4 linked regions of the Notamacropus eugenii genome follow. The protein of the gene in region 1 interacts with the protein of each later gene in a biochemical or structural test. Links are inferred from orthologs where the notes say so. Each region holds a gene or a part of one and is shown in the gene's direction. Other genes may lie near its edges. The genes, in order: STX1A, STXBP5, SNAP23 and SLC6A1.

Region 1 (7,319 bases):
TGACCACTTGACAGGTATATGGTAGAAAGGATTCTTGTTCAATCCAAACTGAAATACATGACTCCTTCCAGCTTTGAGATGGCATGATTCCACGACTAGGAGAGTGATACCATTGATAGACAAGGAACTCAAGTGAGTGAATGAGCATTTATTAAGCACTTATCATGTGCCAGGCTAAAGAACAGAAATACAATGATAAAAATGAGACAGTCCTTGTCTTTAAAAAACATATTCTAGTAGAAGGAAACAACCCACAGAAGGCATTGGTGACCAGGAAAGGAAGCTTTGACATAAAGAGTGACAGAGAGGATGTGTGGATTGACATGCCATTTCCAGAAGCAGTGATCATGTTGATTTAATTAAGTGCCAAAAGCAAAAGGCAGAAAACTGAGGTGAAGGATGATGTATCTGGATGGCATGGTCTAGTCTGGGGTCTGGTCAGGTCAAGTGGAAAAAACAGAAGACTTAAGTTTTGCTTTTGTTTGAATGCAGTGGGAATGAAAAGAGATGACACATTCAACTTTAGATACCTTGAATTTATGGCAATTATAAGTATCCTGTAGATAACAATACCCCAGAGTAATTGGGCTAACTCCAGAATTGTGAAAAGATGGATGCAGATTTGCCTGTGCCCTCAGTTGCTTGATGGAACAAAGTTTAAAATAGCTTCAGCTTCAGGGCAGAGGGGAGAAGTGGTGGGGTATGAGTACCAGGGACTGGGAAAGGGTAGGCATTAGTGCTTAGGGGTGCAGAACTACTGTCCTTTTCCAGGCTCGGGAATCCCTGGGCTCAGCTCCAGGTTCCCTACAAGGGCCCAAAAGTGAGTGTGGCCAGCTTGCCAGGTGCTTCCCCCACATTGCTGCAAATAACACACCACAGGGAGTTTCTCTCTCAGCACTGGATAACCTTTAGAAGCAGTTTTGTTCCTTTCTCAAAAGATGTTGGTGAACAGAGTACAGACTGGGAAACACATAGACAGAGGGAGTCAAAGATCATGCCTGAAGGGCAGACACTCACAGAGGGTTTTGACATCATCAAAGAGAAGTTCTGGGGAGAACTCACTGCCCCTGTTTCTACCTCCTCCAAGAAACAGAGACCACCTCCTCCAGGAAGTCTTCCTAATTGTACTTGTCACAAACAGGCCACTTTGGAGGACAGCCAGTCCAAGTCACATCTGAAAAGGAGTCCCCTCCACCAAAATACAGGACAAACTGACAGCCAACTTCCTTGAAAATCTCCAGTTTTCATCTCTACCTCCCAGCACTAACCTCTCCCTTCCTCAAACCTTCCCCAGGCAGTCTATTCCACTTTGGGATAAAGTAGTTCTCATTTTTAGGAAGTTCTTCATAACATCAAACCCAAATCTGCCTTTATGCCATCTCCGTCCATTGTTCCTGGTTCCGCCTTCTGGGACAGAACAAAACAAGGCCTACACATGGTAGCCCTTCAAATGATGGGAAGCCGTTATCACACCTCCCCTAAAACTTCTCTTTTACAGACTGTCCCAGTCCCTTCATGTGGCCATGCTGGACACCCTCCTCTGGCCAGTTCCTGCTTTCAAGATCCTTCCTCAAATCTAGCACCTAGAACTGAACACAACACTCCAGACAGCACTTGCCAAGGTAGGAGCACAATGGAACTCTCACCTCTCTGGACATTAGGCCTCTCCTAATGCATCGTTTCCCCAAAATTAAGATAGTATTAGTTTGTATGGCTATCCTATGACCCTGTTAACTAATATTAAGCAGGCTACCTACTAAAACCCTCAGGACCTTTTCAAATAAACAGCCATCTAGACTAGACTAGACTAGACTAGACTAGCCTCCTCCATGTTGAACCTGGAAAACTGATCTTTTGAACCCAAATAGATTTTTTTTTTCATTTATCCCTATTGATTTCATCTCCAATTCCAGCCAGTGGTCTAGTCTCTTCAGACCTTTTTGAGGCCAGGCTCTGTCATTCATTTTGCTAGCTACCCCTCCCAATTGGGTGTTATCCCTAAGTCTGATTAACATACCATCTGTGCCTTTATTCAAGTGAAAATGTTGAATAGCAGAAAATCCAGCAGGGATCCTAGAGGTACTCCACTAGAGACTTTCCTCCAATATGAGATCAATCATAATATGCATTAATTGAATTAATAAGAGTTAATAATAGCTCACATTTAGGAGGTATATTAGGATTTGCAGAACATATTACATGTGCTATCTCACTTGATCCTCATAACAGTGCTGTGAGGAAGCTGTTCTTATTATATCCATTTTTACAGATGAGGAAATTGAGGCTGAAATGTTAGATGACTTGCCCAGAGTTAAACTGGGCAGCCAGGTAGCACAGTGGATAGAGTGCTGAGATTGAAGTCAGGAAGATGAGTTCAAATTTGGCCTCAGACACTGACTAACTATGTGACCCTGGGTAAGTCACTTAACCCTGTCTGACTCAGTTTCTTCTTCTGTAAAATGAGCTGGAGAATGGAAATGGCAGACCTCTCCAGGATCTTTGCCAAGAGAAAAAACAAAACCCTGATGGTGTCATGAAATGACTGAACCACTACAATAACTACACAGCTGGTACGTGTCTGAGGAAGAATTTGAACCCATCCAGGTCTTCATGCCTCCAGACTCAACTCTCTATCCACCGCTCTTTGGACTGGCCACTCAATAAATCCACCTGAATTTCCTATCAGTTAGGCCACATCTAGTCCACAAGGGCATCATGAAAAACCTACATTTCTGTTCCCTCCAATATTGTACACACATTTTGTATAGAATTTTAATCTGTCTAGTTCTAAAGTCTGTCTGTCATTATTGTCTACTCCCATTAAATGGGAGGATCTCCTGAGTAGGGGCCATGTCTTCCTCTGACCAGGAGATTTCACACAGGTACTTTGCGCCCCCTTCTCTCTGTGTACCCTAACAATGCTCAACAGGGAGCTGGGAGGGTAGGGTGGAGAAGACAGAATGACGTGCTGAATTGTTTTTAATGTGCATCTCTACTTAAACAAATGATGAGAAATCTTTGTGTGCCTCATGCCAGGGTTTAGAGGGAGGACAAGCAAGAGTGGGCACAGACCCAAAGCTGCCATCAGCCTTGGCCTCTGGGAGGAAAGCCAGGACCAGACACATGTAGGGATACAGGAAGAGGCAGGGAGCCAAAGCAACACCTTGTCTGCCCAGGGCGAGGGAGGAGACTTGGACAGGGAATAAATGTCATTGGGTCTGCAAAGACTAGGACCAGAGAACAAAGCTAAAAGACTAGAGCCCAACCCACTGGGGAGGGTAAGACTTGAATGAGGAGCACGCCCTGAAAATAGATGGTCTTGACTCCATCCCTTAAGGAGGTTGAGTAGGGACGGGGAAAGTGCTTTTAAAATCACATTTGTTCCACAGTGCCTTAAGTAAAGTACATTTTTCTAGAAATATTAACTGACTGATGGTCAGAGCCCACAATGACTCCCTGGCAGTTCCAAAATGTTCCCAGCACCTGAGGCAGCTTCACCACTGGGATAGGGCCTCTAGACACGTTGCAAATCCAGGACCAGAGTAGCCTGGGGAAGGAAACCTTGTTTCGGAGGGAGGAATGATAAAATGTAAGCCTCAGAAAGGACCTGTAGAGTTCATTGAGAAGACCACTTCATTTTACAGGTAGGGAAACTGAGGCTGGGAGAAGTCCAAGTAATTTGCTCAACGTCATGTAGATTCCAGATCACTGTGAGCCCCAGTTGTCATTCTATGAGAAAGTAGCCCTCTGAACATCTCATCAGTCCAGGACCCTGCCCAATAAAAAGAGGAGGGTGTACCGCATCAAGACTGGGGCCAGGTAGTAGGAAAGGAGGGAAGAGGTGGGGTCCATGGGAGGGGAAGAATTAAAACAGGGGGGAAAGTACAGCAGAGGTCCCCGGGGTGAGGATGGGCAGGGCGAGATAGTCCCAATGGAAGGGGGCTGGGCAGAGAGACTGGACAAGGTAGACTGAACAGGAGATGGGGCGGGGTCGCGACCGGTGAAATAACAGGGTAGGACCACGGCTGAAGCCCCCCGGGCAGGGGCCCAGCGAAGAGAGCACGGGGGCCGGGATTCCTACCTAGGAGCGGAGCCGCTGTAGGAGGGGGCGTGGGCGGGCCCGAGCTCTGGGCTGCTCCCGGGAGGGGCGGGGCCAGGGCGGGGTGCTCGGGGCCTGGGTCCCCGAGAGAGGGTCCCGGGGGCCGGGGCGGGGCCGGGGGAGGTGCTGCGCATCTGCAGGGCCGCCGTCGCGCATGCGAACGAAGCCCAGACGGCTGGAGCTGCCGCCACCGCTGCCTCCACTGCTGCCGCCCTTACTGCCCAAGCTGCCGCCTCCACTCCCGGGAGCATGAAGGACCGAACCCAGGAGCTCCGCACGGTAAGATCGCTCCCCGCGCCCGGATCTCCGCGCCCAGACGGGGCGGAGCAGAGAAGCCCAGACGCCAGGGCTTCGCCCCGGGACACGCCCAGGGCGGGAGCTCTGAGGGCGGGCGCGCCCCCCTACCTTTCCCCGGAGGGGTGGGGGAGTCCCAGGCCAACCCCCATCCCCTGCTGACCTTCCCGAGACTTTGGGCCTCGCTCCCCATTTGCCCTGGGACTGGGAGTGACTGCCTCAACCTCCCTAGAGGCCCAGAGAAACTTTTCTTTTTCCCTTTTATTTTGGGGAGGGAGGATTCTGGGGGTGATACCTAGGGCTTTAGCTCCTAGGCTCCCATGATACCTGGTCTTTTTAGACTCCCTAAAGAGGTGGTGTCTCCGCTGAAATCCTCCAGCCTTCCTCCTCCCTCACTTCCCTGTCGAGTTCAGCTCCCGGAGCTGTCCGAGGTGCTGCCTTCTGAGCCTGGGGGGAAGGGGGCGGGAGTGGGAGAAGGAAGGACCAGACTGAGCTCTTCGGGCCTGGGGGAGGGCGGACAAGATTTATGCGCCCAACCCAGGGCGAGGTCCGGAAATGGGGCTGTCTGGAGAAACAGACTGTCCCTGGATCGAGGAGGCGGGGGCCACCTGGGCTCTCGCATCGGCTTTGGTGTCTTTTGTCATTAGAAAAAAAGAGAAAAAAACCACGGGTGGCTGCAGGCCCCCTCCTTGCAGACACCTTGCTTCTGTTCTCTTAGGCTTGGATTTCACTTGGGCTGAGACACTTGTGGCTGCTGGTTCCCTCCTCCTCACATCCTCTGCTTGCTTTCTGTGAATTGGATTCTCGCCCCCATGCAGTAAAGGGGGACACGTACCTTCCCGTCTTCCCCCTTGGCCACCTCCCACCACTTTGTGCGGGGGCTCCTAGGACCTCCCCCTACTTCTGATTTAGCATTTATATATGGCCTATCCACCCCACCACCCCCTAATTGTCTCCAGTCTCCACGACCTCTTTTCTTCTGAAGTAAAGCCTGGGGTCTTGAGGCTCCTCTTGAGCAGGCCCCATCCTGAGGGGATGGAGGGAAGAGGGAGGGGAAATTCCCTCACTGCTGTCATTAATAGGGGACAGGGAGGACTACCTGACCAATCTTTCCTCCCCAGTTTCCACACACTAAGCCCTTTCATGCCAACATTAGCCTTATTTCAACATCCCTGGACAAATTCATTTATATTTTTTCCAAATTCAATCTGATGTTCAAGCTGTGTTTCTGGGGCTCCAAGGTTTCCCAGTACATTTATCCAAGTCCTGGTAGTGGCATCTTGCCCTACTCCAAGGCATTCTGCTCCCTCTAAACCAGGAGAGGATGGAAAAGAAAGCTTTGTAAATTGGGAAATTTTCCAGAGTGTAAGCCTGTTGTCTTTAGCTTCAACTCCTTAATTCAATTTGGCAAATATTTATGGCATGCCTACTGTGTGCCAGGCCCTAGACCAGGTACTGAGGAAAATAAAAGGATGGATGACTAAGTCAGAGCTTCTGCCTTCAGAGTAACCCTAAATGATCAAAGCTCTGGAGTAGAGGGAGGTACTCACCTAAACCACATTTGAGGAGTTACCACCCCATGCCACCAACTCCCTGTTGTCCAGAGGTGGTGAATTGTACCCCATGTTTTCCCCACCCCCAGCTTCTTGGCCTCTTTGTTAATTCCTTTGAATATTAGTAACCATCCCTCTTTTTTCTGAGAGAAAGAGAGGGAGAGAGAGTGAAAGAGAGAGAGAGAGAGAGAGAGAGGAGAGAAATGGATATACTGAGGGTACAAAGAAATGTGGAAAGGAATGTCTGTTCACATTGTGTTAAATGACTGCCTGAAAACGGGGGCCAAACGGAGCCAGGGCTTCTCTGAATTTGGGACTAGCCCTCAGGGGAGGGAATTCTAGCAAGAAATCCAACTTCAGCTCCAACCCTTTCAACCAAATCCAGAATAATGAAACTTCTCTGTTCAGCTGTTTCTGGCAGTTAGAACTCTGTGCTGAAATATGCTATGGGAACCATCATGTGGATATGCTACTCCTGATCTCCAAGCCCTTGAAGTCATAATTAGGACAGGAAGCCTTCCCCCTTGATTAAGAGTAGTCTCATGTCCAGGAAACCAGCCTACAAGGCATTATTGTGGGGTTAGCCTCAGCTGTTCCTCCCCTACCACCATCCCAGGAGAAAGCTAACAAATCAGTTTCCTCTGGGGCATGTGCCCTGTGGGGAACTCTTCCTTGTGCTCCATAATTGGTTTCTAGCTCTATGGCCCCCATCCCCTTTCTTCCAGAGGCTGGGAATCAAGAACCAAGTTTGAGATATTCAGGTTTCAGTGTTCAAAGAGATTTTATTTGTGCTGATTTGGGAGTCTCCCCCTCCTCCACTCCACCTCCAAGTGTCTCTCTGCTTAATTCCAATTCAGGCCAGAAGGAAGCTCATGGCTAGAAAATTGTATTCTCAACTCTGAAAGACAAGGATTTAGGGACAAGTGGGCCCTGGAGCTCTTTATCCTTCATCTTGACATTGGCTTTGTGACCACTTTCTCACAGAATGAGACTTGGCCCTGTTCGAGTCCTATCCTGAAGGTAAAGCGAGAGAAAAAAAGCCCCCTTATCTGCCCTGTGAACCCAATCTATAGAATAAACTCTAGTCTGGGCCACAGACTCACCATTAACCGTGGGAATAGATTGACCCCCGAACACTGGCCACAGACCTACCTGCTGCCCCCCAAATCTCACAACCCTCCCCGTTGATCATAGGTGAGATTGGGCAAGAGTGTGGATCTTTTCGTGCAGCCTAACACTGCTGCTGAAGAAACAATTTAGGATTCCCATTTGGCTGATGAAGAGGAAGAGGGGGAGTCTGATCAGGAGCCACAGGAAGTTCTCACTTGTCCATGTTTTTATTTTCTTGCTGTGTAATCCTTGGTCTTGTCAAG
Region 2 (7,506 bases), about 190 Mb from region 1:
ATGATTTCATTGGCATGTATGCTTCTTCCACTGGTACAGATGGCAACTCATCCCTGTCTTCTATATGATTCCTGTAATATTCCAGAGTGAATCAACTCAACTCCCTGGAGGTCTTATTTTTTCATATTTGCATAATCATTTTAATTTTTTAATTTTAACAGTCCAAAAAAAGTCAGGCAGATAACAAATATAGGATATATGCGCACAATTTACAGTGACTTACAGAGATGCAAGAATAGCAAATCTCACAAGAATGTCAAAGTATTTCAACTTTCATGGAGTTGACTATTTAAATATGACTGATGGGTCATAATTTTAAAATTCACATATGTAGGGGTAAAGACAAAAAAACTACACAAACTCATAAGTGATATTAGAATTTTCAGGTCTGAAAAGATTAGTATAAAAATGAGCATAGAAGTAACATAAAGAACAGGCAAGAGGGAATGGGTGGGCAGAAAAAAAAAAGAGTACATTATTTACCCTGGGGTATTTCAGGGCTCATTTTAAAGAGTTTTATACAAAAGTATTTTGGGGGGGGTCTTATTTTAAAAAAGATATTTCATGGATATTGTAGTTATGCTGCTTGTCACCTCTCAATCTTACAACACTACTTTTTGTGGTCATGTATGTCCTTGATCTTCTCTCATGCCACTCAGAATAAATTACTAGTAAAATGCTACAGCTTTTGTATACCATTCCTGCCCCCCCCCCCATATCTTACCAGTGATCTTTGGGTGACTAGAAAGTGATAGTTTTGAGACAGTAGTATTCTTTGATTCACAACCTTATATCCTGAGTATAATTTATAGTTTTAAACAGTTGCCTGAGGCTCAGAGAAATTAAATAACTTGCCATTGGTCTCATAGATAGTATTAAAAATGTTGGGAGTGGTACTTGAACCCTACATCTCTCTTCCTAACTCCAAGTCCAAGGTTTTATCCACTGTTTCATGTTGCTACCAAGAGAATACCTGTATTAAAAAGATAAGTCTTTGCAGCTTTGAGAAGCCTGAGATCACTGAAAGCATTATTCAATTTCCCAAATATAAATCCAGCCCACTCCTGTTTGATTTGGATCCCAACTCAGTGACTTTGATGTGGAGATACACACACACACACACACAGACATGCACACACGCACACATATATTTCTTAACATTCAAAGCTACTATATTGATATAGAGATAAGGATTTTGAAATCTCCATTGGAAAACTATAAGATAAGTTAAACCTCTCTTGGTTAGATTAGGTATATTCTGATTGGAGAAATGGCGTTGTATTATAAAATGTTCACATCCTGAGAATTCTTTCAGCTCTGTAATCCTTAATAAAAGTGAGGTGGTAACTTAAGTATGTCAAGTGACAAAAATGAATATGGGATATATTAACATTTTATTTGAGGTGGGAGGAATAATCTATTAAATTCATTATTTTCTCTTACTTGAGCTAACCCTAGGGAATTATGAAGCAGACAGTTTGCCTTTTATACCTTTCCATTTCTCCTTTTTTTTTATGCTGCTTCCTTAGCTATATGAAGGGCTCCATAGTCTGGACTGATCCCTTCCTTCCTCTATTCCTTCACCCCAAAATATTGTCCATCCTGTGCCCCTTTCCACCTAAGCATAATGATATAGTGGAGAGAGAACTGGATTTGGAGGTAGGAGTTACATTTAAATCTGCCTCTGCTACTTTCTTAATTTTGTGACGTTGGACAGGTCACTTAATTCTCTTATACCCTAGTTTCATTTGTAAAAATGAATTAATAGTAGCTAACATTTATAAACAATTTTAGAATTTGTAGACATAGTCAATGAGCTCCAAGGTCCCTTCTGGCTCGATTCTGTTCTCTTTCTTGACTATTCTTGACTTTTGGACATCATGGGCACAATTGAGACAACATATGGAAAACATGCTGTTTAACAGAAGCATCATAGCATAGTAGGAGTCAGGAATAGATGGAACCAAGTCTCACCCCTTGTCACATCCTAGCTGTGTGACTTCTGCAGGTCACTTTTCTTCTCAATACTTTAGGTCAGTAGTGTGAAACTCAAATAGAAACAAATAGTAATTTGTACAAAAGGATCTTTAGGGGCTAAACATTGACTTGGTTTTGAAATGTACTGCTATCTCCGTTTTATTGTATTTTGATTATATATTTCTGAATTACGTTTTAATTTGGTTTCCATTGACCCATGTTTGCCACCTCTGCTTTAGTTAATTCTCTTGCAGAGAAGATACAGATATACCTTCTTCATTCTCGAATTCTCTATGGAATCATAGGTCCAGTGGCTAGTCTGTCCACATAATTGTTATCTGTATTTTAGGAATACTGTACATGTTCAATAAACATTAAGAAACAAAACAATTCCCTAGATCCTACTTACAGAATATCTTGCCCCCCCCCAATATGAATGAACTACATTTCCCAGAAATCTCTGGGGCCAAATCCAGCAGGCCATGTCAATGAATCCTGAACAGTTATTCCGAGTTAGTGAGAGGAAAAAAATTGTTATAGGGCAGAAGGGGCAGGTAATTTGTTTCTATTCCTTTCCTTAGTTGTCTTTTAGATATTCTAAGCACTTTTGGCTCACAGCCTCCACTTTCCCCTACCAAAACTCCAAATAACCCCCAAATCTTCATATACTTGACTACATTTGATCACCTTATGATCAGTAGTGGCAGTAATAATTCTGAATGCCAGGAGCAGAGGGACATGCATTTCTGTAAATCTCCCCTTCGTTCTCCTTTCTAATTCAATATTTGTCCTTCCTTCCACCTTTCTATTGAATGTAATAACGGAGATAACAGCCCCAATTAATCCACAACCGTCTAAATTAAAATTCTCGTGGCTTGTGTTTCTGAAGGGCTGAGGGACCACTGAGATAGTGGGAAATGGGGCAACGGTTTCAATCAGAACCGCATACCTTCTTCCTCCACCTTCATCCATACTCCCCTCCCTACCTCACCATACAGAATGGAGATGGATGAGAAGGAAATGTAAAAGAAAAAGTTAAAAGGAAGAGCTCCACAACCCAGCATGGCTACCAAAAGAAGTTCAGGATGGATTTTAAGGATTCTATTTAAAAAAAAAAAACTATTGGAGTGGGAGTCTGCCGTCTTCTTAATAAACAAACGTCTGAAAGGAATTACTGAACTGGTTTACCACTGTATAGTGACCGGAACAAGCAAGATGAGAAGCCGATTTACTGCGGAATCCTCAGTCCTACCTGCACCCCTCTGTACTTTGGCTTCCCGGGCACTCAGTTTTTTCACTCGCAAAAGTAAGGGGTTGAGCTAGATGGCCCCTACGATCCTTTCCAGAGTCTAGGCCTAGGATTCTACAAGCTTGGGGATGGAAGCCCTTCTTGGGAACCACAGCTCTCCTTGCTTGGGGTCCTGGAAGATTAGCGGGGGTGGGCTACTTCAATTTGAAGTGTCCTTTCCAGGCCATCCCTGCATTCTACACGTACGAAGACACAAGGAGATAGCTATTCTTTCTCCTTTGGGGAGATTCCGTTGTCCCTTCTTTACGCAACATTAAAGTGGAGCCCCAAAATAGAATTAGGAAAATCCGACAAGCTGTCTGCATCTAACAGACACAAATATAAAATAAAGCCTCTCTCAGCGAAGACCCCCCCTAGTCAAAGGCTTGGTGCTGCGGGACGCAGGAGAGGGCCGCTGGGGACTGGAGGAAGGAGAACTCTGGCCATTGTCTGGGGTTTGGCCCAAGATAAGGTAAGGGAGCTCTCTGAGGGGGCGGGGCAGGCGGTGGGGGCTGCGCATGCTCGGCAGCTCCGCTCCGCGGCCGCCCAGCAGCTGCTGCCGCGGCGGCCGCAGTTAGCTGTGGTGACTGCTCCTCCTCCGGGCGTTGGTGCCCAGTGCGGAGAGTCGCGTAGCTGGCCGGGGCTAGGAGAAGCAGGAAGGCGGCCAGGCGGGGACGGGAGGTGCTTGCCCGTCTGTGGGGCCAGCCAGTTGAGCGAGCAGTGAGGAGGAAGGAAGTGTCAGGATTGGCGATTCGATTCGAGTCGGGTCGGGTCGGAAAGGCAGCGCCGCTGCGAGCGGCCCCGGGTGGGAGGCAGACTCTGACCCTGACACCCGCACCCTCCGAGAGGGAGAAGGAACTGCCGGCGACGCTGCGGGGGCGGGGGCCCGGAGGGCGGGGCGAGGAGGGGGCGGCGCAGCTGCGGCGGCTGCCGGAGTCGGCTGCTGAGCGCGAGCCGCGGGGGGCCGGCGGAGGGGAGCTGAGGCGGGCAGGCGGGGGAAGCGTCATGGACTCGGCGGCGGCTGCTCCGGCAGCGGCCGCGGCGGCCGAGGGGATGGCGACGGGCGGCGGCGCTGTCGGGAGCCGCTCCGCCACTAGGTGAAGGGGCTGGTGGGGCGAGCCTGCGGGCGGGTCGGGCGGGCTCGGCTGTCCCCGGGCGCTGCTGCTGCCGTTGCCGCTGCTGCCTCCCAGCGGAGGGGAGGAGAAGGAGACGGCGGCGGCTGCGGCGCCGGCAGCCGACACACAGCAGTCGGGGAGCCGCTGGAAGGGGCGAGCCGGGCCTCCGTCTGTCCGTCTGGGTGTCTGTCTGGGCGCGGCGGCCGGGCTGCCCTCTCGGGGGTTTCTCGTCGTCGCGGGGTTTCACCCCCTCCTTCCTTCCTCTGCGTCCCCCGCATACCCTCCTTCTCTTCTCCCACCGTTTTCTGGTCTCTGACCATTCTGTCAAAACTGCCGCCGGGGCTCGCCCTCCCCCCGCCCCCGCTCCACGTCCGCGGGGGACGACGCTCGCTGCCCGCCTTCTGAGCCTCTAGCTGGGGGCCGCGGAGGCGCCGGGGGGAGGCCGCGGCCGCCGCTGGAGGAGGAGGAGGAGGAGGAGGAGGAGGAAGGCTGGGCTTTAAAAGGGAGCGCCCGGGGAGACCATGAAGAAATTCAACATCAGGAAGGTGCTGGACGGCCTGACAGCCGGCTCGTCGTCGTTGTCGTCGTCCTCGCAGCAGCAGCAGCAGCAGCAGCAGCCGCCTGGAAGTCGGGAGAACGAAGTGCAGGAGACGCTCCAGTCCGAGCACTTCCAGCTGTGCAAGGTGACTGACCCGAGGGGGCGGCCCGGCCGGCCCGGCGTGTGGGCAGTGCCCCCAAGGGGAGGCTTGGGCACGGGTCTGGCCTTGCGCAGCGGGGAGCCCGAGGACTCCCTTCTCCGGCCGCGCTCCAGAGTTTCCTTGTCTGTCTTTCCCTCCCCTCCCCCCTCTCCTCTTCTTCTCTTCTCCTCGCCCTCTCTCCTCTTCCTCTCTCCTCTCTAGCACTAACTCTCTCTTTCTCGATCTAGCCCTCTTTTTCTTTTTCTCTCGTTCTCTCTGGGTCTCTCTTGCACCCACTTTCCTTTTCTCTCTCGCTTTCTGTCACTCCCTTATTCTCTCAATCTCTTCCACCACTCCCCCCCTCATGTCTTTATGTATCTGTCTATGTATCTTTATGTATCTATGCATCTTTCTATCTAACCGTCTATCCACCTATCTATCTCTGTATTTAATTTATCTAATTGTTCATCTGTCTACTTATCCATATCTAAATTTGTTTTTCTCTACTAATCTATCCATCTCTCTATTCATCTTTCTGTCTAATCACCTCTCTATCTAATCACCCCCCTCCTCTCCCGCTTAGAGGATTCCCTCTCCCTCCTCCCTCCCATATCTATTGGACCCTAGAAAACACTTTGTGATTAAAAGCCTTTTAGGAGACTATTTCCCCCAACTTCTTTACCGAGAACTCTCCCGACCCTTCCTTAATGCAACAGTGATTCCAAGATTGCCTCATTTATAATGCTGACCATTAAGTTGGTATTTGGAAGCAGCAGTTGCAATAACCTGGAATGGTTTTATGTGTATGTGTGTTTGTATTTAAAGCATAATGCATAACCATAAAACCCTTGTGGCCTCCTTTGGAAATAACTTCTAATGAAGATTGGTTAACATACAGCCAGACTTAATTAGCAAATTTGGCATTCACCTGTGCCTTGCATTTTCTTTTTTAAAATGTTCTGCGGATGACTTCTAACTTGAATTTATGGATCCTTTTTGGTGGTGTGGGTGTAAAAAGTTAATATTGGGACTCTTTCCTGTAGTGGTGTCATAATCACACGCCAAAGTCCTTAAGTTCAGGAAGGATGATGCAGCAGATTAGTTCCTTGTTCAATGAGACATGCAAATTAATTTGCATATTGACATTTTTTGTCGTCTGAAATAAACTCATGCCTTCATATAGACAGACTATTTTGAGGATGTACAAATATACCTTTAGCGTTATTACTCTGTCTTTATTATGGACTTAATAAAAGCAACATCATAATTAGATGTACTTGTGTTGAGTTCTGCCATTCCCTTGAAAAATGTTGAAGTAAAAGGTGATTGCTTTGTTTTAGCCCAAGTATGCCTGACACTATTTCTCCAGAAAAGGCATTCTGTATATAGTAGAGTACGCAGTTTTAAAACAATATGGAAGAAAGTTAAATACAGCTTTAAAATAGACTTGTACATAGATTTTGGTAGCCAGTACCTAGATAGTCTAAGGAGAAAAATTGTTGATGATGACTTTCATTTTGCTTTGGAAAAACAGGCTTTCCCCTTAAAAACTCCTGCGGATACTTCTCTTGTCTTTTCTGTAGATTCATCCTTTGCCTTAAACACATTCTAAGTATCATATTTATTTGTCTCTAAGTCTCCCCACCCCCCATTAGCTATTTAGATGGTGGAGTGAGGGAATTGTGTTCTTCTGTGTTTTGTATTCTTAGCACCTAGCACAGTGCTTTGCCTAAGGGAGATACTTAATGTTGGAAATGAATAAGCCTTTTCCACATTAGTCTCACCCATTAATTTGTTTAAAATAAATATTCTCCTGTTAGGGTTTAAGGTTGCAAACTAATAATCACATAGAAACATCATTGTTGAAGGAGTGGTTTGAGATAATACATTTTAAACATTTTCCTAAAATAGAGTAGTAGTGCTTTTTAGAAAACAGGCTCCTGGGAGAGAGAAAAAGTGTCTCTTTTTTCTATTATAGAACTCGATTTGACTAAGAAAGATGGAACTTGTTCTTCAATGTCTCTTTAATAACTTTAATGTCTTCATTTGCAGTTGAGTATTTGATTAGAAGTTTTCAGTCTTCTTTTATATGTGCAAAAGTTGCCCCATGATTTAAATTACAGGCATTTTTTTTTGCCACTCCAAAAAGAAGATATCCAAAGGGAAGATGTTCAAGGGGACAACATTTGAGGCATTACACTGAAATCACAATTTCACATATTGTTGCTTTTTTGCCAGTCTTGAACAACTTCTGTTTCTGAACATGAATAGGTGTTCTGGACAGTAATGTTTGTGTTTTGTTTTTTTTAAATAGATTTCATATCCTCTTCTAATATGTGATAATGAATCCTCCTTCTCCCCCTTTTTTTGTTTGTCCTTTATTGCTGTTGATTTCATCACTTCCTCATCCCAAGACTGTTCGCCATGGATTCCCCTACCAACCCTCAGC
Region 3 (7,231 bases), on another chromosome or scaffold:
GAGGATAAACACCTTCTTTGTCCGTTTTACAGAATGTGGAGCCCAACTTAACATTAAACTCTCATCAAAACAGGAGGGCCACAGAATGACTTTTCTCTGTACAAACTAGAGATCTTTTTCTCTATTTTTGTGGGACCTTATCAGGGGATATCATTCTGCTAAATTCTGAAATCTTTCATGACCTCTTAAATTCTTTCCCCAAAACAAACTAACAAAAACCTAGGGCTTAAGGTGTAGTGTAAAATACAGTCAAATTTGGATGACAAGAGTGTTTTTTTGAAATCTTGCTTTGGAAGGCCAATGTAATCTCAGGGGATTCATTGAGAGGCATTAGTCTTCAAGACTGGGGATATGGTAGTTCCATTGTACTCTGTCTTGGTCAGACAGCATTTGAAATTGGGCACCATATTTTAGGAAAGATAAATTAATATGAGGCCATAAGTATGGAGAAGAGCCTCCAGTGTATGAAAGGTCTGGGAAACTATTAGTCAGAAGAAGATAACATTTAGAAATGACCTGATAGTTATTCATTTCAAGGATATCTAGAAGGCTGTTATATAGAAGAGAGATTATATTTGTTCCACTTGATGCCACAGGGAAGAACTAGAGGCAATAGGTGAATTGCAAAGAGTCAAATTTAGACTTGAAATGAGGAAAAATTTCCTAATAATTAGATATTTCACCAAAAGGTGAAAGGGTTATATCATTGGCTCACATTGAGGCACACAAACAAAGTCTGGATGACCACATCTTAAGTATGTTGTTGAGGGGGTTTTGGTTCAAAAACTGGTTGGACCTGGTGAACGGTGAATTAGGAAATGAAGCAATTTATAGTCTTAGAGAAGTCCCTGGGCAGTAATTTAGAGGCTGAGTTACTTGCCCGAGACTAGTATGTGTCAAGAAGCAGGATCTGAATCTAGGATTTTCTAGTTTCAAGGGTGGCCTTGCTTTGTAGGCATCAAGACGCTTGCCAAATTAAATAATGTTAAAATTTAATGAGTTCTCTTTCTCAGGGATGGTTGTAGTTTCTATTTTTAGTCACTATTACTTTGCCCTTAGGTTACAAATATATTTATATATTTGATTCTAATAAGAAAATTTTAATTCTCAGACTATTCTCAAAGTAAAGAAAAAACTAAAAAAGATTTTTAAAAATTTCTAAAAGGTCACCTGTAGGAAAAGAATCCTACAATTAACTTACATGTATATGTGACTTAAAATGTAGATCCCATCCTATAGGATATAAAGTGTAAATATATAAACACAGCATCTAGCCCACAGTGTATTCTCAAATATTAAAGCAATTGTATTCATATTTATAATTTTGAAATGATAAGATTTTTCTCCTTAGTGTTCCTGTGGCAAATCAGTCAACAAGCATTTCTGAAGCACTGTGTTAAGATCTGGGGATACAAAGAAAGGCAAATACTGGTACCTGCCTTCAAGGAGCTGACCATCTAATGGGGAAATAACATTAAAACAACTACATAAAAGATAAAATAAATAGATTATATATACATATACACACAGAGAATGATTGGAAAATAATCTCAGAGGGAAGTGTGTATGTAGGCAAAAGGCCCACCTAGAAAGACCTCTTCAGTGGGTGAAATTTGAGCTGAGATTTGAAGGAAAGTAGGAGAAGATAAGAAGGGAGAATATTACAAAGATAGGGAAGTCAGCTACTGAAAAGGCACAATCCAGAGATGGAGAGTCCTGTTTGATGAACAGTGGTCAGTATTGCTGGATCATATAGTATATGAAAGGGAAAGTGTAAGAACATTACAAAGGGAGAAAGAGATCATATTATGAAGGCCTCTTAAAGGAAAACATGAAATTTTATATTTTGAGGTAATGGAGAGTCACTGGAGTTTATTTGCTTATTTTGAGTGGGTGTTGTGTTTGAAATGGTCAGACTTGCACTTCATTAGGAAAATCACTTTGACATTTCAGTGGAGGATGGATTAGAGCCAATTTAATTCAATAAACATTTATTAAGCACCTACTATGTTCCAGGCACTGTGCTAAATTCTGGGGATGCAAAAAGCAGCAAAAGACAGTGACTACTCTAAAGGAGCTTACAATATAATGTAGGAGACATGCAAACAAATATATACAAAGCAAGCTATGAACAGATAAATAGGAAGAAATCGATGGAGGGAAAGCATTGGAATTAAAGAGGGGGTTTAGGGAAGGCTTCCTGTGAGAGGCAGGATTTTTGTTCATTGTTTGCCCTTGGTTCTTGAAGAAGACACACCTAAGGAAGGTGATGTCATGACTTGCAAGTGAATTGGATTTAAGTGAGAGAGGGCTGTGCAAAGTCACCAAAAAAATTGCCTTTTTGAGCTAAAGTCTTTCCCAGGTCTCAGTTTTACTGAGGCAATGTCCATTCAATGATTAAAGCTGGGTAAGAAATGAAGAAAAGAACAGCTTTTTCAACCTAGTCAAAAAATTACATATATATTTTTTATGTGCGTGTGCACGCGCGCACACACACACACACACAATCAGTTTAGAAATTAGGAAGCACATCTGGGAGGGAACTGAAGGTTAGTTGATCTAGGCCCTTCCCCAAAATGGAGGAAGCAGGAGGAGCTACATATTAGAAAGATACTGGTATGGTAGAGGGATATTCTAGGGTGAGGAAGCCTCAGTTGCTGAGAAAGGATTCAAGGTGAGATTTTAGTCAGGCCATGGTTTTTAAGTCTATTAAGTTAGAATCACAGCCAGGAGGAGAATAAAAGTTGATTTAAAAAAAAAAAACAACAGATAAATACTGCAATTTTTTTTAAAAATATCTTTGGGAAACAGACCTAATAATGGTATTGCTGAGTCAAAGGTATGCTGTTTCATAGTCCTTTGTTCCTAGTTCCAAATTACTCTCCAGAATGGTTGGATCAGTTCACAACTCCACCAACAGAGCTATTTAGTGTCCCAATTTTCCCACATCCCCATCTAATGTGTCATTTTCCTTTTCTGTCATATTAGTTTAGATTTGTTTTAATTTACATTTTTCTAATCAATAGTGATTTAGAGCATTTTTTTTATATGAATACCAATAGCTTTGTTTTCTTCCTCTGAAAACTGCCTGTTCATATCCTTTGGCCATTTATCATTTGGGGAATGCTTTGTATTCTTATAAACTTGACTTAGTTCTCTATGTATTTGAGAAATGAGTTCTTTATCAGAGAAAATTGCTCTAAAAATTTTTTTACTGTTATGATTACTATGTATTTCCTTCTATTCGTTTCCCCCATTTACCCTCTCTCTCTCTCCTTTCACTTTACCCACCCTCAAGTGTTTTACTTCTGACCACTGCCTCCCTCAATCCAATCTCCCTTCTATCAGCACCCCCTCTTCTTGTCTTATCTCCTTCCCTTCTACTACTCTGTAGGATAAGATAGATTTTTTATACCCCACTGGGTATGTATACTATTCCCCAGGTGAGAGTTTTGTTTTGTTTATTTTTCTGGGTGAGGGACACGTGGGCATGTTTCTAGGCAAAGAGCCAGTAAAGATGAAATTGAAAATAAGTGAGAGAGTGAGGATGAGAAAGGGGGCAGTCTGTTGAAGGAGATAGGATGGAATGGGATCACTTGAACAAGTGGAGAGGTTAGTCTTGGTAAGGAGTAACACCAAAGAGACTAGAGGCAGGGAGATAACCAGAAAACAATAGTCCAAGCATGAAGTGATAAATATGTAGCAGGGTGGGGTGGGAAATTGTGGAAATTGCTTTGCATATTACATTATTAATCGGATCACTTGTTATATATTATGCTGTATCACAGCATATATATGACAACATTATTTATCATATTGTAAAATACGTAATGTGTTTACTTAGAATCCTAAGAGCATTGATTCGCAGCTAGAAGAGTCCTCAGAGGTCACCTAGCTCAAGGTCACCTCACTTTACAATTCTGTATACAAGTTGCAACATAATTTCCTTCACTTCAGGGACTGGGTTGTTTTTGTTTTATCTTCAATCTCTTCAGCACAATGTCTGGCTCGCTAATTAAATACTTGTCGAATTGTTACCAAACCTAGATTTGTGGTTTTTTAGATCTCAGTTGCACCTACATCTGGTTTCACCAAACGCTGGGGAAAAAAGAAACAGAGCTACAGTAGCATGGGAATCCCACCTCTTCCAAAACAACCCAGAACTAATTGGCCAACTGCGAAGCAAGAAGGGTTAAACCTCCCTCTCCTGTACGCTGATTGGCTTGTAGCTCCAGGGGCGTGTTCTGGGCCGTATTGGGCGAAATGCGCAGGCGCCTGCTGGGGCCAGGGTAGGGGAATGTGGGGATTTCTGAGTACGCATGCGTCAGAGAGACCCAGCCCTGGTTCTTATCTTTGGCCAAGTCCGGGTTGTGGAGGATTGGTAGGGGAAGGACTGCGAAGTCTCAGGGTGAGTTGTGAGGGCCCCGGGGCCGGGCCGGGACCGGGGCAGCTGCCGGGCGAGGTTCTGGGCGAGGAGGAGCTGCGCGTGACTTCCAAAAAAATGGTGGAGAGGCGGCTGAGCGAAGAAAAATGAAGGGGGAGAGGCGCCGGCGCGGAGGGGGAGGGGGAAGAAAGACACGGGGGGAGGGGGAGGATACGGGGGGAGGGGAAGACACGGGGGGGAGGGGGAGGGCAGGGAAGTAGCGGGGGCGGGGAGCGTCTGTCCGTCCTCGTCTGTGCCTGGCCTGGGAGGAGGGTGTGACGGTGGGAACCCCTCTAGTGGGTAAGGGAAGCAGGAAAGGGGGTGTGTGTGTGGTGGGCATGGGGATGGGATATGTGTGTGCCCACCTTGTAGTGCAAGGATGCGCTCCTGGGCAGCGAGCGTGTGTAAGTGTGTGTGTATGGGTATGTGTGTGTATACACACACAGTGTGAAGATACACTCATGGGCAGTAGTAGTGTGCCCCCTTCTTAAGTGTGTGTGTATGGGTATGTGTGTGTATACACACACAGTGTGAAGATACACTCATGGGCAGTAGTAGTGTGCCCCCTTCTTAAGTGTGTGTGTATGGGTATGTGTGTGTATACACACACAGTGTGAAGATACACTCACAGGCAGTGAGTGTATGTGTGTATATGTAGTTAAGTGTGTGTATATGTAGGTATGTGTATGTGTGTACACACAGTGTGAAGATACACTCATGGGCAGTAGTAGTGTGCCCCCTTCTTAAGTGTGTGTATATGTAGGTATGTGTGTGTATACACAAACAGTGTGAAGATACACTCATAGGCAATAGTATATATCGATATTAAGAACCACACTTGTTCAGATTAAGAGAGAGTCCAGAGAAACCCGAGAATGCTCCTTAGAAGACTGATAGCTTTGATGCCATCTTACAAAGAGAGAAGAGTGGGAGATAGCTTCCTAAATTCAGGGATGGGGGGTGGGATGAGGATGTTTAAAGCTTCCCTTCCCTCTTCTTGCTCCTTGGTCCTTCCCTTCAAGGCCATTAGTTACTGTAACTTTTAAATAGACAAGTTGGAAAGGGAAGGGTGGTTCTTAGAGAAAGTTGGAAGAAAACACAAGTTGGTCCATAGAGAAGTAGTCGTTTTCCCTCTGCCCCTCATCTCATCAAGATGTAATTAATGACTGGGGGAGGGGAAGGATGTAGTTACTGAGCAGTGGGGAGCCATGTGATGAATGCACTTTGAGCTTTTTAGAAATAAGGTATTGCAAGTATTAACAGAGACATCATTCTGTGTATCTAAAACTGATCTTTAGCCTCTATGGTGAGGCCCATCCAGTATGACGTGGTTACTGTCACACTAGGAGTAAAAATAGGATGTACCATTCTGGTCCATACTAGAAAATGCCTAATGAATTTTAAATCTGGGTATCATTATCCATAGTTTCCTGGGAAGTCTTAGTATTGCAATTATATTTTATGACCTAATATATTAATTTAAAATTTTCTCTAGTCCTGTCACTACCTAAGCCAAAAATTTGCCTAAGGTGTACAGTGTTTATGAAATATTCTTCATCATTAAGTACTGTCAAAGCATATGGGATTACATATGCTTTATAATCCTTATTTTATATAAAAAAGCAGCAAATATTAGGACAAATGTAGTTGCCCCTTTTCCAAGCACCAGAACATAATTAAAGTAATCATAAATTACAGCCCTGTAGCGTATGCATCTATCAGCTCTAGTAGTTCTCTTTAAGCAGTTTGCGACATGTGGTCACTTGCTGGTTCCTATGATTGTCATTCTTGTCAGTGTACTTTTGGATTCAAAGTGACTTTTGTTATTTTACTTCCTGATAATATTGTACCACTTCTTCTTCCCTGACCCTGGTATGCAGCTTTACATAAACATTTGTGGGACTTTCCGCTTTTTGTAGATAACTACTGTTACAGCATATTAATGTTCTTGTTTCTTTCATTTCAGTTACCTTAAGAACAATAACACCCCTCCTATTTAACCAAGAAGAAAAAAAAGGCCTGGGCAGCCAAAATGATGTGACAGATCCCATGTGCTCAAATTGACTCCCTTAAGGACCAAACATCAACAGAAGTAGCTATTCTGTTCAGCACAGTTTTAATGGATTGCTATTTGGTTTCCCAGGTCATAGTAAATTAGAGGGGGAAAGGTGGAGTTCATACCTAAGGGATAGTATTGGAAGGAAAAGTATACTGGAACATGCAAGATAAGGCATGTAATAGTATATGGGGCCATTTAGTATAGGGTTAAATAGCCCTATATACTTCAGTGGTACTGAGGACATCAGTATTTATTATTGTAGAATATAATAATTTATAATTTAATCCTGAATCATAAAGATTAAATTATTTTTCATGTCCTTTGCTTAAGAAGGCTGTAACTTGTATAAAATAGTTTCCAAAAAGTTTTCATCATAAAGTTGATTTAAAAAAATATTGACACTTCAACAGCATTTATCAAGCATCTGCTTTGTGCAAAACACAGAAATACAGAGATGAAAATGACACTGTTCCTGCCCTCAAGAAGTTTACATTCTGAGGGGAATAGGATATGACATAAATGCAGATAAATATAGTTCAAGGTAGAGAATTATTGAGGGCAAAGAAAGATGCAGGCAAAATACTCTAGCATTACTGGAGGAGGAATAGAAAACTACTTTTAAGCCAGAAGAACAAGGAAGGCTATACCTGAATTGTACCTGTAAGCAAGAAAATTCTAAAAAGTGGAGGTGAGGAAGGCTTGTATACTAGGAATAGAAAATGACCTGGCTAAATGCACGGAGAGAGGAG
Region 4 (8,014 bases), on another chromosome or scaffold:
GGAAACAGCAACAGTTACTATTGATAAACACTCTAAAGCTAGGAGGGTCCAGAAGAGCCCTTGGACAGGGGCCCATTGGCGTCCGAGTTTCAGAGTGCTGTAGGTTTAAAGGGAAAGGAAAGGAAAGGGAAAGGAAAGGAAAGGAAAGGAAAGGAAAGGAAAGGAAAGGAAAGGAAAGGAAAGGAAAGGAAAGGAAAGGAAAGGAAAGGAAAGGAAAGGGAAGGGAAGGGAAGGGAAGGGAAGGAAGGGAAGGGAAGGGAAGGGAAGGGAAGGGAAGGGAAGGGAAGGAAAGGAAAGGAAGGAAAGGAAAGGAAAGGAAAGGAAAGGAAAGGAAAGGAAAGGAAAGGAAAGGAAAGGAAAGGAAAGGAAAGGAAAGGAAAGGAAAGGAAAGGAAAAGGAAACAGAGCCAGAAGGCAATTAGGAAAGAGCTAGAAGATAGGGATCATTTGAAGATAAGGTAGAATGGGGGAGATTATCAATAGAACAATAGCCTAGAGGAGACAGAAAGGGATAGAATCCAGACTACAAGTATAGGGGTTAGTCTTGGCAAAGACAGGGTCACCTTCTTCCCTGAGGCTCAAGCAAGCCATAGGTTGGTGAAGATAGAGACATTATGGTGCAGTGACAGATATACAGAAAGTGCTCACTAAATGCTTGGTACCTGACTGACTGAATGGTTAAGGGAAATGAGAGAATTTGCCATAGTTGAGTTCAATTTTTTTTCACTAAAGAAGATTAGATCCTTTACTAAATGATAGGAATGGGGCTGGCATTGGGTCTATAAGAAAAAAAGATTTGGCAGAATCCCTGAGAGGTGTTTGATAAAGAATCGATCAGATTCAGCTAAAGTATTTGCCACACAGCAATAAAGATCCAGTGGTATTAAGCGAACATGGTTTTAGAATGAATGTGTTGCAGTTGTATGATTTCCTCCAGCAGTGTTTAGCATCATGGGAGTAGGAGTGGAGAAGGTAGATGGAGTTAAAAGACCCAATATGAAGTTGAAAAGTTGTAAGGCATGAATGACAGGGTGAAAAAACAAGGGACATATATGTAAAGTAAAACTGAATTGGTTAATAATGCCGTCAAGACTACAAAAGGGAGGAAAATGAAACCAGACCAATGTTGATGGACCAGAACCCCAAGAACCTAAAGTCATAGGAATGATGAAGAAGTTTCAGAGAGAGAGAAAGAAGTGCAGCAGTTTAGACTCAGAGAAGGGAATTTCAGGGTTCAAGATTGTGACCACTCCCACGGGAGGCTGAACACAGAGGAGAAGGTTAGAGACCTGGGAGGTCAGAGTGTTTGAAGGGTCATCAGAATCAATAACTAAATGGACAAAGATGAGGGTTCAGTTTGGGAGAAGACTGTAAGACAAGTATAATACAAGAAGAGAAAGAGGGAGGTGGAAGCTAGTAGGTGACAGTAACAATAGTCTAAGCAGAGTTTCCTGATGGATAGAATGAACCAGAATGAACCCGAATGAAGGAGAAATTGCTGAGAGATGGTATCAAGGAGGTTGTAGAAGTAGAATACTCTAGTGGTCCACTAGAGTGAGGGAAGCCAGCTTCTACTGGCATGAGAGAAATGCCCAAGTGATTGGCAAGGGGTAAGGTCTTCTCGAGAAAGTCAGGTTTTTGTGAACACTGGATGGAAATAGTGGAAAAGAAGGAGATTCAAGATGAAGGAAAGTTTCTTAATTATAAAGAAGATGACTCAGAAGTCATAGTAGAAGGGGAAAGCAAAAGAGAATAGGGACTGAGAATGTTGGGGCTACTAAATAGGAATGAGGGCTTGGGTAGAGGTCACAGAGGAAAAGAAGTTTTTTGCTTTGTTTTACTTTGTTTGCCTTAAAAGCTAGTGAGTCTGAATTGTAAGGATTAGAGGGATAGTGCCTGGGAATTTGTTAGATCAGAAGAAACAATTATCAGAGTGTTAGGAGTAAGAGGAGGGATCAAGGGACACGGTGGCCTCTAACATTGTGCAGTGTGGGGCAGGGGCAACTGATATTGCTAAAGCAGAAGCCAACATGTCATTCTCCTCCTCTGGAAACTTCGATGGCTCCCAACTGCCTCTGTTAAAATATAAAACTCTTCTGTTGGACATTTAAAGCCCTTCACAATCTGGCCTAGTCTTTCTTTCCAGGGTAATAATACACATCACCCATCATAAGTCAATACAAGTATTTGCTAGAAGAGTTGTTTTTCTTTGGGGGAAAGGATGTTTGTTCACTGAAAAAATGTAATCAATACTAGCTAACATTTATATAGTTCTTACTATGTTCTAAGCATTTGGTAAATATTATCTCATTTGATCCTCACAACAACTTTGAAAGATGAGTGCTATTACTGTCCCAAACTCCAGTTGAGGAAACTGAGACACATAGCAGATGACTTGACTTGGCCAAGGTCACACAACTAGTAAGTGTCTGAGGCTGGATTTAAACTCGGGTCTTCTTGACTCCAGGATCAATGTTATATCTACTGCACCACCTAGCTGCCAATTAAAAAATAAAGTTGAAATGATCTTGTTGATCTATACTCTATATATGATGCACTATCTCCCTCTTCCTCTCCATTTGCACAGGTTCTCCCCCATACCTGGAATATTCTCCATCCTCACCTCTTCCTCTTGCAAGACCTAATCCTTGTCAAGGTTCAGCTCAAATGGCACCTTTGGAATGAGTCCTTTCCTGGTTGCCCTCCCTAGTTATTTTCTATTTATTTTGTATTGCTTGGTATTTAATTATCTGAGTGTCTGCTATATCTATGACCTCCCCAACCCGTAAGACGTAAGCTCCTTGAGGATAGGGATTGTTTGTATCCCCAGAGCCTAAGATACTGCCTGGCACACAGTAATCTCCAAAGAAATGTTTGTTGTTTGCTTGGTTTCTTGTATGGTATTGAGCCAGTTTACTGCCTCTTTCTTGGAAGCTTCCTATGTAAGGCATGGTAGGAGGTGGTTGGATCAGACAATCTCCAAGATCCCTTGGAGCTCATATGGGAGACTGTTGATCTGGGAAATTTAAAAGTTATTGGGATCCTTTAGTCAGACCCAGCAATAGGTGAGGAAGACAGATGCTTGGGGAGTGGGGGGAGGAGGTACTCAAAATGAGATGCATAAAAATTAATACTTTTAATAAAAGTGCATATTTTATTGCCAGAAAAGCCTGTTCTCCAAAGTACCTCTGTGTTTATTTTGTGGTGACACCTGTGTTGTAGCACAAGGTCAAAGTATCTGATGGACAGATACAAACATAGGAGGCCAAGTTTTCCAACCTTGCTTAGTGCTTCAGAAGAACACTTGAAGGGGGAGTGGTAGAATGAGAAAGTGGTCAAGAAATAAGAGGGGTGGGTTATTCTTCCAAGAGTCTAGCACTACTAAAAAGTTGGTGGGACTGGGCAATAAACAGAACGTGGTGAAGATGAGACACAGATTTGCTTTGGGTAGATTAAGCATCAAGGGCTCCAAAAGCAGAATGCTCACAAAGCAGCCCCTTCTGCTGACTCATCTGTAATTTGTAATGCAAAATGGCTTTTTGGGGTGCCCATTACATTGACCCTGTTCTGTGAAATTACTTCTCTCTGCCTTAGTCCTGTCCATTTGGTTCAGGGTGATGGGAAACCTAGGAGAACAATCTTCAGTCTGTACAATTTGCAGGCTAGAAGGGACCAAGAGACTCATTCAGGTGCTTGCCTCTAGGCAGTGCTGCTGTTAAAGCATTCCAGGAGAGTACAAGTTAGCTCTCTCTCTCTCTCTCTCTCTCTCTCTCTCTCTCTCTCTCTCTCTCTCTCTCTCTCTCTCAATAAATAAATAAATAAACATCTGTCTTGGAGAGTGGTCTTTAGAAGGGATGGGAATCTGAGACCTTGAACAGAATCATTGGGGTCCCTGGAACAAGAGGAGCCCCCCAGCCTGAGACATTTGTCTGACACAAATACGTGTACATGCACCACTTCCTCGAGTCCTAGCACTTTATTATTTCTACCTCTGGAGACAAGAGAGAAAGGCTACCTCTCTGGGTCCCGCAGGACTCCCTCTCCCCAACTCCGATACACGATACACGTTAGACTATGCTTCTCTTCATTTCTCTCACCACCACTACCCCTTGCTTCCACCTCCAGGTATTTTTGGCTATTCAAATATAAAGCCCCTGACACCAGCTTCAGGGAAATAAAGAGCCCAGGTATTTGGACATCTCCTGGCGAGATCCCTAGGCAAGGTGAAGGTAAGGGAGGCCAAAGATTTGAGTAAGAGGGAAGAGGAGAGGGAATAAGAAAGAGGGAAACACAGAAACGGGAGGGAAGAGGAGGGGGAAAGAAAGATAGAAGAGGTAATGGTGGGAGGGAAGCGAAAAGGAAGAAAAAGGAGAAAGGTAGAGGAGAATAGCGAATCGAAAAGGGAATATCGGATAGAAAATGGAAGGGGAGTAGAGATGAAGAGAGAGGAAAATTACAGGTGTAAGAGGAAGAGGAGGGAAAGGGAACGGGGGGAACAGCGAAGAAACGAGAGAGAAAAGGATCGGGAGAAATGAAAAAGGAAGAGGGAGAAAATTATAGAAGAAAGAGAAAGGAAAAGGGATAAAAAAGAGAAGTGTGGGAAAAAGAAATGGGAAGAGAGAGAGAAGTCGATAGAAAAGCAGCAAAGAAAGAGAAAGAACGATGGGAGAACAGAGGGACGAGCGGATGGAGACAGCGAGGAGAGAGAGGAAGAAGGAAGACAGAGAGAGAGAAAGATATGGAGAGAAAGAGAGAGATGGGGGGGGAGGGAGAAGAGAAGAGAAAAGGAAGAAAAGGGGAGGAAGGAAAGGAGGGAGGCCGAGAGGGAGAGAGGAAGGGAGCGCTCTACTGAGGAACACTGCGCTGGAGGGGAGGGGAGGAGAGAAAGGAGAAAAGGGGTTGGCCGACTACGGCCCAGCCCCGCCCCCCGTTGGCCTCTCTGGGCAGTGAGCCTCAGCTCTAGCGCCCCTCCTCCTGCTAGCTGCGCGGCTTGGGAGAGAGAGAGAGAGAGAGAGAGAGAGAGCGACCGAGCGAAAGAGTGAGGAGAAGAGTGAAGCAGGAGCGAATGATTAGAACGGTGCTGCCTGGCTCTGGGCAGCGCGGCGCAGCTCAGCAGAGCGGAGCGGACAGAACGAAGCCCTAATTGGCCCATGCGCCTCCTCCAGCTGTCCCAGGAACGCAGTCCCGGCCCGGCCAGGTCCCATCCCGGCCCCGGCCCTGGTCCCGGCCGCAGGTAGGGAGGCTGGCTGTCTAGTTTGGGGTTCTATGCTCCAGGAGGGGGTACGGGGGAACGTAGGCGTGACTGCCCGGGACTCAGCTCTGTCCTGCCGGGAGAGTGTGGGCAGCCTCGCTCTGGAGCTGAACCTTACGTTTTCCTATTCCAAAGAACTCGATTGGGGGGAGGGGGGGTGTCCTCCAAGGGTGGGGGGGAAGAAGTGCAAGAATTAGGGGTAAGAAACAGGGAAAAGCTTCGAGGGGTTTAGGGAGACTGCGTTGGGAGACTGGAACTGGGAAGGTCTGCCCCGCTGCCTATTTTCCCCCACCAACCTTCTAAATTGAACAGGGGTCCTTCCTAGAGAATTTGGGAAGAATGTCGTGCAACACCCCCCGGATCCCCCGGCAACTGGAAGAGAGAGACTGGATCTCTTCGAGGCTTCTGATTCCATTTTCCACCCTACCAAGGATTTGGGGGCTAACTGCTTCCCCTTCCCAACCCAAGTCCCAACTCTGTTGGAGCTGGGCTCTGTACGATTTCCTCCAAAGCCTTCCCTCCCAAATCTGCCCTCCCACTATCCCCGTGATCCGACCCTTCCCTTACAGCACACCCCCTCCCCCCCATCCCAGTTATTCTTCCGGGGACTAGTAGCCTGGAGGTCGTCTGGAATCTAAGACTCTGAACCCCTACTCGGGTTGGCTAAGCAAAAGAAGCCCAGCTTTCTCTCTGGGGTCCTTGCAAACGGAGGTTCGAAGGTCTTTCCGATGGGTTAGCTTTGTGTTACAGATGCTCTGGAGTACAGCTGTTGTATTACCTGTGGGCTACTGTTGGGTCATCTCCGTGTGTAACAGTTGCGTCTGACTTGTATCACACGAGTAGTCTTGAGGTATTTCAAATGAGTTCTAGGTTTGGGTCAAGGAAGGAGATGTACAAAGTCCAAAAGCATATTTTTCCTCAGAAACCTTTTTCTTGTATGACCGCTGCCTCCGCCGCCACCACCTCCCGCCCCCCTCTCTGTCTTTGCACCCCTGTCAAGCCCAAAGGGGAATTGCAAGGACTGGCTTTTGGTCTGGCGACATTTTCATTAGAAATGAAAACTGGTTTTTTGGTTTATTTTCCTCCGCTACAAAGTCCTGCCCCATAAGGAGATCAACCTTTTACTAGTCTTGTTCTCTGGTTAAGCTTCCAAACCAGAAAGCTCCGAGTCTTTTGTCTTGAAGAATTCCAGAGCAGCAAATCTTCGTAAGTGAACGTCTGAATCGCAGGTTCTTGTTCTGAATCTCCCTCTTGGTCTGTCACTGCTTTTTCGAAATGAAGGAGGTTGGGGGAGAGAAGAGATCCAAATGTATATACTAATTATGTATTGAAAACATTTTCTTTTGTTGCTAACTTTTTCAAAAATAAATGTTCAAGCATTTGACGGAGAACGCCCCCCCCCCAAGGCCACAGGGGAAAGGGGGGACCTCAGACCCACAAAAGAGGTCAGCCGAGAATTTTAGGTAAATGATCCCTTGGGGAGTCTACAAAGAACAAGAACAATTTTCTTATTCTGGGCAATGTAGGGGGCGGGGGGGGGAAGGGAACCTTTGCTGCCTCAGGCCATGGGAGCCAAGAAAATGGTCAATTTCCATCCCGTTTTTCCCTAAGCAGATGTGAATCTGACCATCCTGCATTATCCAGATTTGGGGCAGTAAGATGACCTTGACCTTAGAAGTCGAAGATTGGGGCATGTGTATTGGCATTTCTAGTAACAAACACGGAAAAATGGTTGAGGCGATAGTCATGTAAAAACCGTGAGAGGAAAACAAAGGGAGGTTGTGAGCCAAGAGCTGAATTCATGGTGGGCGCGAGGACAAACGGCAGGTCCAGTGGCAGTGGTGTGGACAAAGAATACAGGGCAACTTGTTTCTGAGAGGAACAGCAGCCCAGGCTGCGGCTTCGCAGGTGAATTGAAATAAGACCCTGCTAAGCAGCCCCAAGAAGTAGGGGAGAGAAAAGAACTTCTCCCCACCCCAGAGGAGTAGATCGTACAATTTTGAGAGCTTTGCCTGCTCCCTGCTGGACAGATAGTTAGCAAGATGCAAGGACTTCCCCAAATCTGGATGAAAAAAAATGCTGTTTCCCAAGCATCAGGGAGTGCTTGCTAGATTCTGATAGGGGGCAATGGAAAAAAAAACCTAGTCTACAAAGGGAAACAGGAGAATCCAACAATAAATGTATCAAGGTAATGTAAATAGCAATTCCCCTGGGGGTCCTCCAACTCTACCTCCAGGGAAACATACCATGCAATGCCAGGCACAGTGAGTGCTCAGTCATTGTCTGACAATAAGATGTATGAGACTGTAAGTCTCTTATTGATGTTTGTAACAAAACTCAATTCTCCAAATATCTCCTCAAAATGAGTCTAAAATCAGATTACTATTGATAACTACCTCTGATGGTATCCTATATCAGCAATTTCATGGTGTAAAATGAAGGGAATGTGCTTTCAGAGGGTTTTGTTAGGAGTGGAAAGAGCACTAGAATAGGAACTGGACGACCTGATCTGCTACTCACTAGAGGTGTGACCTTGAACAAGTCAGTATTCATCTCTGAACCATCCCTTTATAATAAGGAACTTGCACCAGATGATTTCCAAGGTCTCTTCTAATCCTGAAGTCCATTCTTATGCATTAAAGCAACATTCTTGGATGCTGTTTATAAAGATCTCATAAATGTCTCAAGTTCAACATAAAATCTAGTCTAGAACAAAGGTCAGCCTATCTATTTGGCATTGCATAAAGAAGGGTTCTTCTTCGTC

What was found.
Region 2: the proteins of STX1A (region 1) and STXBP5 form a complex in vitro, tested with the Homo sapiens proteins (2 studies listed by BioGRID). The link is inferred for Notamacropus eugenii from reciprocal best matches to the Homo sapiens genes STX1A and STXBP5.
Region 3: the proteins of STX1A (region 1) and SNAP23 form a complex in vitro, tested with the Homo sapiens proteins (3 studies listed by BioGRID). The link is inferred for Notamacropus eugenii from reciprocal best matches to the Homo sapiens genes STX1A and SNAP23.
Region 4: the proteins of STX1A (region 1) and SLC6A1 form a complex in vitro, tested with the Homo sapiens proteins (2 studies listed by BioGRID). The link is inferred for Notamacropus eugenii from reciprocal best matches to the Homo sapiens genes STX1A and SLC6A1.

What each region holds. Positions count from the first base shown.
Region 1 is NC_092873.1:50,187,716-50,195,034, forward strand, and holds the start of STX1A (syntaxin-1A), read left to right. Parts: upstream 1-4,300; 5' UTR 4,301-4,348; coding exon 4,349-4,378; intron 4,379-7,319. UniProt on the Homo sapiens protein: Plays an essential role in hormone and neurotransmitter calcium-dependent exocytosis and endocytosis.
Region 2 is NC_092873.1:238,975,108-238,982,613, forward strand, and holds the start of STXBP5 (syntaxin-binding protein 5), read left to right. Parts: upstream 1-4,505; 5' UTR 4,506-4,901; coding exon 4,902-5,063; intron 5,064-7,471; coding exon 7,472-7,506. UniProt on the Homo sapiens protein: Plays a regulatory role in calcium-dependent exocytosis and neurotransmitter release. Inhibits membrane fusion between transport vesicles and the plasma membrane.
Region 3 is NC_092878.1:28,891,738-28,898,968, forward strand, and holds the start of SNAP23 (synaptosomal-associated protein 23), read left to right. Parts: upstream 1-4,216; 5' UTR 4,217-4,408; intron 4,409-7,231. UniProt on the Homo sapiens protein: Essential component of the high affinity receptor for the general membrane fusion machinery and an important regulator of transport vesicle docking and fusion.
Region 4 is NC_092874.1:434,075,378-434,083,391, reverse strand, and holds the start of SLC6A1 (sodium- and chloride-dependent GABA transporter 1), read left to right. Parts: upstream 1-5,001; 5' UTR 5,002-5,232; intron 5,233-8,014. UniProt on the Homo sapiens protein: Mediates transport of gamma-aminobutyric acid (GABA) together with sodium and chloride and is responsible for the reuptake of GABA from the synapse. The translocation of GABA, however, may also occur in the reverse direction leading to the release of GABA.